Linked DNA regions of Oryctolagus cuniculus. The protein of the gene in region 3 interacts with the protein of the main gene of each other region in a biochemical or structural test. Links are inferred from orthologs where the notes say so. Each region holds a gene or a part of one and is shown on either strand. Other genes may lie near its edges.

Region 1 (3,649 bases), on a different chromosome or scaffold from region 3:
ACGTTCTACCTTTCAAATAAATAAATAAATTTCATGGGAAAATGGAATTGAAATATAAGCTTAAATTTGAACACAATTTTAAAAAAACAATTGAAGAGGGAAAAAATAATAAGATTTCTTTACAAGGCTTCCATTTCAGAATTAAACTGAAACCATTGGGCTGTAATATCAACTGGTACTTATCCATTTTTGCCCATGTCCAATAAGAGAATATTCACATTAGCTTAAATTAGATTTCTGAATTTTAATTTGAATGTAAATGTCTATCTGAAATTAACAATGCTTTGAATTAAATACTAAATTCAGTGATGATAAACTTTTTATATAGTGTTTTACTTTTTTAAAAAGTTCCCCTCTCATTTTTTTTTACTGCTTTTGAGCTCAGTGTGATTGTTCCACATTTAATGTGTGAGAAATCGACTTAAATTAATAAGTAATCTGCCCATTTTCAATCACTCAAAAGAGATGAATAGGTTGGTTCTTGAACCCAAGTTTTGTTTTGTTTTGTTTTGTTTTGTTTTGTTTTTTTACCAAACAGAGGTAGACAGTGAGAGAGAGAGTTACAGACAGTGAGAGAGAAACAGAGAGAAAGGTCTTCCTTCCATTGGTTCACTCCCCGCAAATGGCCACCACAGCCGGCACTGTGCCGATCACGAAGCCAGGAGCCAGGTGCTTCCTCCTGGTCTCCCATGGGGTGCAGGGCCCAAGCACTTGGGCCATCCTCCACTGCACTCCCAGGCCACAGCAGAGAGCTGGACTGGAAGAGGAGCAACCGGGACAGAATCCAGCACACCGACCGGGACTAGAACCTGGGGTGCCGACGCCATAGGTGGAGGATTAGCCTAGTGAGCCGCGGTGCTAGATTTGAACCCGAGTTTTCTAACTCTACCTGCTCTGTTTTACCATTAGATCTTGTTCCCACTCATCATAAGCCATAAATATCAAGCATGAGTGTTCTGGTTAGTAATTGATGTGATACATCAACTGTAAATTTGAATCCTTTGTTGAATTACACCCTCCATTGGGAAGTTGAAGGAGGGAGGCACTTTAAAAAAATCAGTCACCATTTTTAGTCAGGTACTTAGAAACCAATTTGGACACAAACTTGAATTGTTTAATAGTGTGCATGTGTGGCTGTAGGTGTGGCTGTAGCATAGGTTTGCAATTTTGGTTTTTTACTGTCATTGTAGTGGGGTTTTTGTTTTGTTTTGTTTTTTGCTGTTCTTGTTAACGTGGAACATGAGTAATTGTGGTGGTTGAAATAATTTTCCTTCATATTTCAGCACACAAAACTAACAGCTATATTTACTTACAACAAAGAAATAGTCTCCAAGTAGCATTAAGGAAAAATGTAGTAATAATGGTATCATTTTAATTTGTAACTATATTACTAAACTTGGCACCATGTCATCCAGCATTCTTTTCTTTCACTTGTATATGCCTCAAGGTAAGAGCAGAAAATTTGAAGAAGGAAAAGGAAATGCTTAAATTATCAGAAGTTCGTCTTTCCCAGCAAAGAGAGTCTCTGTTAGCTGAACAAAGAGGGCAAAACCTGCTGCTAACTAATCTGCAGACAATTCAGGTAACCAAATAAAAATCGTGTGGGGGAAAAAATTGATAAAAGTTGAATTTGGGTAGTTTGTTCCTTTTGTTTTCTCAGTTTTTTTACTTTGAAAAGTGTTTTTGTCACTTTTATCATCCATTATGATCAGTGAGTTTGGGAGCTTTTTAAGACATTTTAATGGTTTTTTTAAAAAACCTGTTAAGTGGGGCCGGCAAGTGGGGCCGGCACTGTGGTGTAGCAGATAAAGCTGCCACCTGCATTACCGACATCCCATATGGGCGTTCACTCGAGTCTTGGCTGCTCCACTTCCATCCAGCTCTCTGCTATGGCCTGGGAAAGCAGCAGAAGATGCCCAAGTCCTTGGACCCTGCACCCACATGGGAGACCCAGAAGCAGCTCCTGGCTCCTCTCCCTCTCCCCCTCCCTGCCTCCTTCTCCTTCTCCTTCTCTCTCTGTGTAACTCTGACTTTCAAATAAATCTTTTTACAAAAAAAAAAAAAACCTGTAAGTGAATGGATTGAGAGACCAGCCCTGTGGTCTAGAGGGTAGAGCTACTACCTGTGACGTTGGTATCCCATGTTAGCACTGGTCCACTTTCCACCCAGCTCCCTGTTAATGGCCTGAGAAAAGCAATGTAAGATAGTCCAAATGCTAGGGTTCCTGTCACAAATGTGGGAGACCTAGAAAAAGTTCCTGGCTCCAGGCTTTGGCCTGGTCCTGGCCCTGACCATTGCAGCCTTCTGGAGAATGAACCAGTGGAATGAAGATGTCTCTATGTTTGACTTTAAAATAAATAACTGTTAAAAAAAGAGAGAGAGAGAGAATGGATTGAAATCATGGAATTGGCAAGTTTGATATTCAGATCTATAATTACAAGATCCTATGCAGCTTAACTTTTTCCAGATTAATATTTTGGGTTTTGTTTTTCATTAAAACTTGAAAATCTGAATGAGTATTAAAACTTGTTTTTTTTCCCTGTTATATAAATATTTTCTTGATTAATACTTTATACTGTTCATGTAGAAAAATGGATTATGGGCCAGTGCCATGGCTTACTTGGTTAATCCTCCGCCTGTGGCACCAGCATCCCATAGGGGCGCCGGGTTCTAGTCCCGGTTCCTCCTCTTCCAGTCCAGCTCTCTGCTATGGCCTGGGAGGACAGTGGAGGATGGCCCAAGGTTTGGGCCCTGCACTTACATGGGAGACCAGAAAGAAGCAGCTGGCTGCTCCTGACTTCGGATCAGCACAGCGCTGGCCGTAGTAGCCATTTGGGGGTTGAACCAACAGAAGGAAGACCTTTCTCTCTGTCTCTCTCTCTCACTGTCTAACACTATCTGTCAAATAAATTAAAAAAAAAAAAAAGGAAAGAAAAATGGATTATTATCCCCTAAATCCCTACAGCTTATAATTATCTTTGTATTGCTTCTTTTACTTTGTTGGTAAACTTAACTAAACTCTCTCTTTTACCGTAGGGAATACTAGAGCGATCTGAAACAGAAACCAAACAAAGACTTAGTAACCAGATTGAAAAACTCGAACATGAGATCTCTCATCTAAAGAAGAAGTTAGAAAATGAGGTGGAACAAAGGCATACACTCACTAGGAATCTAGATGTGAGTCCATAACCATCGTGAGTTTCTGTAGCTTCTTCATGTTTCATAATAAACCTGGAGTGTGGACATATATGCAAGTTGAAGCATGGTTTTGAAAAAAATTACTTAAAAACTCTGTTACCCTTTATTCTTTGTTTGCAGCTAAATTTTGTTTGGGTGCCATATATTGTGAGTTTTGCCCCGTTAGGTGCTGGGTAATTTTGTATTCCTTTGAATCTGCTTAAGCTGTGTTCTAGGATTTTAATAAAGTTAATTAGACATAGTTTGAGTCCTACTTTTGGTGATGTATTAGGCAGGCCCAGAGCAGTGCTTAGCCTAGGACGTGTTTCCCACTGCTGAGGCAAGACCTTCATGAGGACTGGGCCCAGTGTCCAGTGGATTGTGATTTCTTCCAGGCGGGCTGCTGAAACAGAAGTTATTCTGAGTGCCAGCACCCTTCACTCTAGTCACTCTGGGTGATTCTTTCCCCTGC
Region 2 (3,649 bases), on a different chromosome or scaffold from region 3:
TTGATTTAGTGGGTTTTTTAAAGCCATTTTTTGGTCTAAGACAAAAACCAAATAAATGCTTTTAGTTTACCACTAGCGTCTGCTCTTGAACCACTCTACTGTGTGTCCCAGTGTGGCTTCTGTAAATCCTGTTCCAGGCTTTTTCTCTGGAAGGGTTTCTTCACAGTGTTTTGTTTGGAGGATGGTGTGGGTAAGCCTGAAGGGTACAGACCTAGGCATGTATACTTATCCGTCTCATTCTTAATGGAGTTTACTCTTAATTTTTCTTACACTAATGAGTGGTAATGGTTTGAGAATCACCAGTTAAACTTGAGTGTAAAATTCCTCATCACTATCTTAAATGGCTGCACATATTTTGCAGTTGTGTAAAGATGTCAGAAATGTCCAGTTTTTCTGTAGAAATTGAAAAGCTTGCTTACAGTGCTGTGGGTTCACCTGTTTTTCTTCCCGTTGAATTCACTGTGTTTGATACAGGTGTTTGGAATGGAACTCGTTGGCTGCTTATTTTCTAGAAACTGGAATGTCAGAGAGATGGCCCTCAGGCGTCTTTCCCATGATGTTAGTGGGGCCCTGCTGTTGGCAAATGGGGAGAGCACTGGAAATTCCGGGGGCAGCGGTGGCAGCAGTCCGAGCGTGGGAGCCGCCAGTGGGTCTCCACAGGCCAGCGTCTCTGGGGACGTGGTGGAGGCGTGCTGCAACGTCTTGTCGGTGGTCTGCGCCGACCCTGTCTACAAAGTGTACGTTGCTGCTTTAGTAAGTAGCTTTATTCCCTAACCATCTCATTGCGGGGTTCCTTTGCTGATTGTTTCAGATACTGTTTTCCAGATACAATAGAGCTACTTTATGTGACTTAACTCTGGAAAATCTGAAGTGTATTTTTCTTCCAAAATCCCAGGAAATGACAGTTTTCCATGTAACCGACCTCTCATTTAATTTTCCATTGTACTGATTTTAATCTGGTCAGGTTTCCTTACGTGCAGTTAGCTGTCCCCATCAAGCAGCAGTGTCCTGCTGTTCATACCTTACCGTGTTCCTGAGCAGGTACTTGACATGTGACTAAAGTGATAATAACTTAAGGGATAGTAAAGGGATCCAAGTTACTTTGCTTTTTTTTTTTTATTTTTTTTATTTATTTATTTTTTTTTGACAGGCAGAGTGGACAGTGAGAGAGAGAGACAGAGAGAAAGGTCTTCCTTTGCCGTTGGTTCACCCTCCAATGGCCGCCGCGGCTGGCGCGATGCGGCCGGCGCACCGCGCTGATCCGATGGCAGGAGCCAGGAGCCAGGTGCTTTTCCTGGTCTCCCATGGGGTGCAGGGCCCAAGCACCTGGGCCATCCTCCACTGCACTCCCTGGCCACAGCAGAGGGCTGGCCTGGAAGAGGGGCAACCGGGACAGAATCCGGCGCCCCGACCGGGACTAGAACCCGGTGTGCAGGCGCCGCTAGGCGGAGGATTAGCCTAGTGAGCCGCAGCGCCGGCCCTACTTTGCTTTTAATTTGGTATCTGTTGATATTAAGGAGAATTTCTTTTTAAGAAGCATTTTGCATGATTTTTAGTAAGCATTTTTGTGTGGAAACACAGGAGCCATTTCACAGAAGAGAGTGCCATGACACTAACTGTCATGACCCTGTCCTGTTTTTCCATGAAACATGCGGAGGGACAATGTGTGCCATAGAACAGTGCTCTTCACCCAGCTTTTTGCCTCTTAACTTCCTACCGGTTTTCTAACACAAACTTTTAGGCACACTTGACTGCCTGGTATGTTTCTCCTTTCGAGGGTCCATCTTCTGTGAGCTGTCCCTCATCTTCCCAGCCAGTGGCGACCCTGTCCTCTCACCATATTGCTCTCCCTGCAGATGCCATCTGGTTATCCTGCAGTTCAGACTGTCAGCTGGCCTGGAAGCCGCTTGAGATGGGCACCATAGAAAGGATGCCACGTTCTCGTCCGTTGGCAGTTATGTAGTGTGCCAGGCTCAGCAGAGACAGAAGTGGTCCTACCTTCAAAGCTTTTCTTCTCTTTTCTTCCACCACACACCTCCCTCTTTCCCTGTCTTTATTCTTCCCTCTTCCCTCCCCATCCCTAGTTTTTTGCTGAACCATTGTGGAGTTATTTCTAGGCATCATGACATTTTGTCCTCCAATCACTTAGCATGTGCCTCTTAAGAATATTTATATTGTGGGGCTGGCGCCGTGGCTCACTTGGTTAATCCTCCGCCTGCAGTGCTGGCATCCCATGTGGGCACCAGGTTCTAGTCCTGGTTGCTCCTCTTCCAGGCCAGCTCTCTGCTGTGGCCTGGGAAGGCAGTGGAGGATGGCCCAGATGCTAGGGTCCTGCACCCGCATGGGAGACCAGGAGGAGGCACCTGGCTCCTGGCTTCGGATCGGCGTAGCTCCAGCCGTGACGGTCATTTAGGGGTGAGCCAATGGAAGGAAGACCTTTCTCTCTGTCTTTCTCTCTCACTGTCTAACTCTAGCTGTCAAAAAAAAAAGAATACATACATTGTTCTGTGTAACCAGTTGCAACCAGCATGTTCTCCTTAATAACAGTATTACTGCATACTGTCAGGTTCCTATTTCAATCTTCCCAGCTGTGCCAGCAGTATACTTTATAGCTAAACTGCAGACTTTATTCACGTGTCAGTTTTCCCACTAACAGTTTTTTCTGTCCCAGGATCCAGTCCAGGATGCCGCATCGTACTCAGTCATCCTTTCCTCTTAATCTGTTGATCCTCTGTGATGATTCCTCAGCCTTCCCTTACATGACCTTGACTCCTGAGCCTTACCAGCCAGTTGTTTTGTAGAGTGCCCATCCATGTGCGTGTTTCTGATGCATACCTGTGGTTATTGTGCACTTTTCACAAGATTACCACAGGGGTGCTGTACCCTTCCCTCCTCAGTACACTGTAACAGTGGCTGATGCTCTCAGTTTGAGTGATGTCTGCTTTCTCCACTATGAATTTACTGTTAATAAATATCGGGCTGGCACTGTGGCATGGTGTGTTAAGCTACCGTCTGCAATGCCAGCATCCCATATGGGTGCTGGTTTGAGTCCCAGCTGCTCAATTTCTGACCCAGCTCCCTGCTAATGGCCCAAGAAAAGCAGTGGAAGATGGCCCAAGTATTTGGGGCTCCTGCTACCCACTTGGGAGACCCTGAGAGCCCCTGGCCTCCAGGCTTTGGCTTGGCTCAGCCCCAGCTGTTGCTACCATTTGGGGTTCACAGTTGCAGCAGCAATGGAAGATCTCTCACTTTTTTTCTCTCGCTTTCTGTAATCTGACTTTAAATAATAAATCTTTAAAAATAAAAATAAATAAGTATCTTGAGAGATACTTTGAAACTGTATAAATAAGAGTTGAAATTTTGCCCATTGATGTTACCGTTTGTCAGCAAATCTGACCTGGAGCAATTATTACTACACTATTAGAGCTGGTCTTCTAACGTTGATTTTTCTGTCGTCCTCATTCTTTCCACATTAATTAATTGGAATTCTTCTGTAAAGAAGAGCTGTCTCTTCCCCATTCATGTATCTATTCAGATTTTTTTTTTAAAGATTGTATTTAATTTTTTGAGAGGTAGAGTTAGAGAGAGGGAGAGACTGATTGTCTGTCTGCTGACTCACTTCCCAGGTGCCTGCAACTGCCAGAGCTGA
Region 3 (3,649 bases):
TCCTCTTTTTTTTTTTTTTTTTTTTTTTTTTTTTGACAGGCAGAGTTAGAGAGGGACAGAGAGGCCGTCGCTGCGGCTCACTAGGCTAATCTTCCGCCTAGCGGCGCCGGCACACCGAGTTCTAATCCTGATCGGGGCGCCGGATTCTGTCCCGGTTGCCCCTCTTCCAGGCCAACTCTCTGCTGTGGCCCAGGAGTGCAGTGGAGGATGGCCCAAGTCCTTGGACCCTGCACCTGCATGGGAGACCAGGAGAAGCACCTGGCTCCTGCCATTGGATCAGCGTGGTGCGCCGGCCGCAGCGCGCCAGCCGTGGTGGCCATTAGAGGGTGAACCAATGGCAAAGAAAGACCTTTCTCTCTGTCTCTCTCTCACTATCCACTCTGCCTGTCAAAAAAATAAAGAAATAAATAAAATAAATAAAAGAGAGAGAGGGACAGAGAGAAAGGTCTTCCTTCCGTTGATTCACCCCCCAAATGGCTGCTACAGCCGGCGTGCTGCGGCCGATCCAAAGCCAGGAACCAGGTGCTTCTCCTGGTCTCCCATGCAGGTGCAGGGCCCAAGCACTTGAGCCATCCTTCACTGCCTTCCTGGGCCACAGCAGAGACTGGACTGGAAGAGGAGCAACTGGGACAGAATCCGGCGCCACAGGCGGAGGATTAACCAAGTTTCCCTTCCATGGCATGGAGCTCACGCCATCACTGCCCTCACATTCTGTGTTGTGTGGAGCACTCCCTGTCACTGCTCTCAACGTTTTGTAGCCTGGGCACTCGACTGAGTAGTATGAGTTAGACTTGGTTGACCTTTGGTGCAGCAGTTAGAAAAAGAAAAAAGGAAAATGAGACAAGCTGTCTTTTGACAGTCTTGAAAAGAGTTGTGGGTTTGTTTGTTTGTTTGTTTTTTTAATATTTATTTATTTACTTGAAAGAATTACACAGAGAAGGAGAGGCAGAGACAGAGAGAGAGAGGGAGGTCTTACATCCACTGGTTCACTCCCCCAGTTGGCCACAATGGCCAGAGCTGCGCCTTTGGGAGTAGATTTGACTACATAGAAGGGGAAGGAAGTGGAAAGCAACTTTGCAATAACTACTGATGGGCCAACGGGAATTTGAGAAATAGAAGGCAAGTGGGGGTCCTGGCAGTGATGATTCCAGGAGCCCCTGCAGAACAGGGCCAAAAAAGGGCCCCAAGTAGCTTCGTAACTTTAGCCAGAACCATTTTTCTCAATTCACCCAAGCAAGACTGTGGTGTGCTAAGCAGACAGTGAAAGCTAGGAGAGCCCCTTACACTGTGCCCTATTGATTCAGCCAGCCTGTTTCCTGGTCCCTGACGCGTGGAGCATCATCACTGCCATCCTGATTGTTGGGAGGATTAAATAATTGTGAATTTGTAGACTTGTCACCAAGTGTCTGCTGCGTGGTGATAGAAGAAACTACTTTTTGTATCATTGCTGTTTTCTGTTTTTATTTTTATGATGTTCTGATGTCAGGCTGTTTAGAATCTTTAAGACATGTCCTGTGTTTTGTTTTGTTTTCCCTCTCAGATCTGTGACTTCGGCCTGGCCCGCGTTGCGGATCCGGACCATGATCACACAGGGTTCCTGACAGAGTATGTAGCCACGCGTTGGTACAGGGCTCCAGAAATTATGCTGAATTCCAAGGTAAGGACCAAGTTTGCATAAAAAGAAAACCTTGCATGTGGGTTGTAGGAGGCCTCCCTCTCCAACCTGTTTCTACTTGCGTGGAGGCTTGGAGCCAAGGCACTGTTTTATCTCATCGTACTGCGTTAGAACTTCTGGGCCCTGGTTCAGCCACTGCACCGTGGCTGGGGTGGTGCTGACCTGTCCTCGCGTCAGGTTGAGCCTCCCGGTCGCTGTGACTGTAAGTGGTCTGTGTCCTGCCATTTGGTCAGTCCTGCCTGTGGAAGCTGCACCTACCAACACCACTGCCTGGGCATGTACCAGAGGCTTCCTGGTCATCTCAGCACCGAACCAGGGCTGTGCTGTCTAAATCAGCTGTACCTTTATAATGAGGAATGTCTCTTCTCCCTGAAGAAGACCTACAGCTCTTGTGATTCCTTCAAAGTTACATGGTACTTGTGTTTGCCAGGAAAGGGCCTTCCCCTGTGCCTCCACGTGGCTGTGGAGAGCGCATCCTGTCGCATCTGAGCTCTGCTAAGATCTGTGTGTCTCCTCAGAAATGATTGAATACCTCTGCAGAAGCACCAGAAGGCGAAAGGGTGACGGGTGTGTTAGGTTATGAGCAAGCAGGCAAAAGTTGAAGGCTGCCGTGAATACGGTGGCTTTTCATGCCTCGTTTGCAGAGAGCGTGTGAGCCAAAATTAGGTAGCTAGGTGGGCCTGGCATGGTTACGTTTGTCTGGTATCGCAGGACTCTGAGATTCCTAAGCACAGCCCCATCTGCTGGAAAGTAGTGTGGGAGGAGTCATGTGAACAGACATTGCACCGTAAGTCTGGGGCCCAGGAGCCAGGAGTGAAGTCGGGAGGCTGGGTGGAAATGGAAGAGCAGGGCTCCTAAGCTCACAGGCTCCATGCTCTTCCTCCGTCCTCCGCAAGTAAGGAGAAGCCGTTAGATTACTGTAGTTAGGAAATGGGATTATTTAAAGCAGTTATCCCTGATAACCTACATTTGTTCATTTTAGTTCCAAAAGTAAGCTCATTAAGATCAATTCCACTAGAAAGAAGGATTTGGTGTAACAGATGTTTCAGAGAAGAAAGTGCTGTGTTGACTCTCATAACTGTGTTAAAATAATCCCACACAGCAGGTTGCATCTCCAGCCAGCCGTGGACAGTCGTTCCTAGCAAGGGGTGCCCGTGTGTCTTTCATCTGGTGGCTACTTGGTCTCGTGTCGCCATTCCATCTTGAGGTGCCCCAGTTGCCCCCCAGGGGGACACAGCCAGACAGGGTGGGCTCTCTGCATGTTCCAGAGGCTCTCGCCCCTTCTACCTATGGGCTTACTGTGTGGGAACCTTTGTGGAGATTCATTTACTTGTAACACCTCTAGCCTAGGATCATCTTTCTAGTGACGTGTTCAACTTTATTCTTTTTTTTTAACTTAAAAATCTTTAAAGCCCATAGAAAAACTGAGAGTACAGTGACTGCCCCTGTACCCCTCACCTTCATTCCCCTGCCGTTGGCATCATACCCTTCCTTCCCCTTGCTCCCCACCTTTCTCTCCTCTCGTCTTCTCCGCGCTCTCCTCTTGGTCTGACCGTCTTCACTCTGCACCAGCCTGGTCCGTCACTTCACTCGTGCCCCCTTGGGAAACACTGATACTTCTAGAAAGGGGGTGTACTTCCCTAAAGCCAGGGAACCCTTAGCCCACCTAAGACGATCAGCATTCACTCAGCGACATTTTTGCAGAACACAGGTAAGCTGGTTTGTAGAACCACGCATGTTGTGTAAGTACCACAGCAGTGATGCTTTGTTCCTTCTCTGTGAAGTGCATCAGAACACACCTCTGCTTGGTGCTGTGTGGGTGCGTGTCCATGTTGGTTTTAAATTTCCCTTTATTTAACTTTGGCCAAAAACAAAGATTATTTTGGATTTTAAGAGGGGCCAGCATTGTGGTGCAGCAGGTTAAGCTTCCACCTGCAACACTGGCATCCCATACAGGCATCAGCTCAAGGCCGG

What was found.
Region 1: of the proteins of MAPK1 (region 3) and TPR, one has a biochemical effect on the other in vitro, tested with the Homo sapiens proteins (2 studies listed by BioGRID). The link is inferred for Oryctolagus cuniculus from reciprocal best matches to the Homo sapiens genes MAPK1 and TPR.
Region 2: of the proteins of MAPK1 (region 3) and MAP3K1, one has a biochemical effect on the other in vitro, tested with the Homo sapiens proteins (3 studies listed by BioGRID). The link is inferred for Oryctolagus cuniculus from reciprocal best matches to the Homo sapiens genes MAPK1 and MAP3K1.

What each region holds. Positions count from the first base shown.
Region 1 is NC_091444.1:3,534,414-3,538,062, reverse strand, and holds part of TPR (nucleoprotein TPR), read left to right. Parts: intron 1-1,447; coding exon 1,448-1,582; intron 1,583-3,036; coding exon 3,037-3,177; intron 3,178-3,649.
Region 2 is NC_091445.1:77,547,376-77,551,024, forward strand, and holds part of MAP3K1 (mitogen-activated protein kinase kinase kinase 1), read left to right. Parts: intron 1-474; coding exon 475-753; intron 754-3,649. UniProt on the Homo sapiens protein: Component of a protein kinase signal transduction cascade. Activates the ERK and JNK kinase pathways by phosphorylation of MAP2K1 and MAP2K4. May phosphorylate the MAPK8/JNK1 kinase.
Region 3 is NC_091452.1:29,050,649-29,054,297, forward strand, and holds part of MAPK1 (mitogen-activated protein kinase 1), read left to right. Parts: intron 1-1,540; coding exon 1,541-1,657; intron 1,658-3,649. UniProt on the Homo sapiens protein: Serine/threonine kinase which acts as an essential component of the MAP kinase signal transduction pathway. MAPK1/ERK2 and MAPK3/ERK1 are the 2 MAPKs which play an important role in the MAPK/ERK cascade.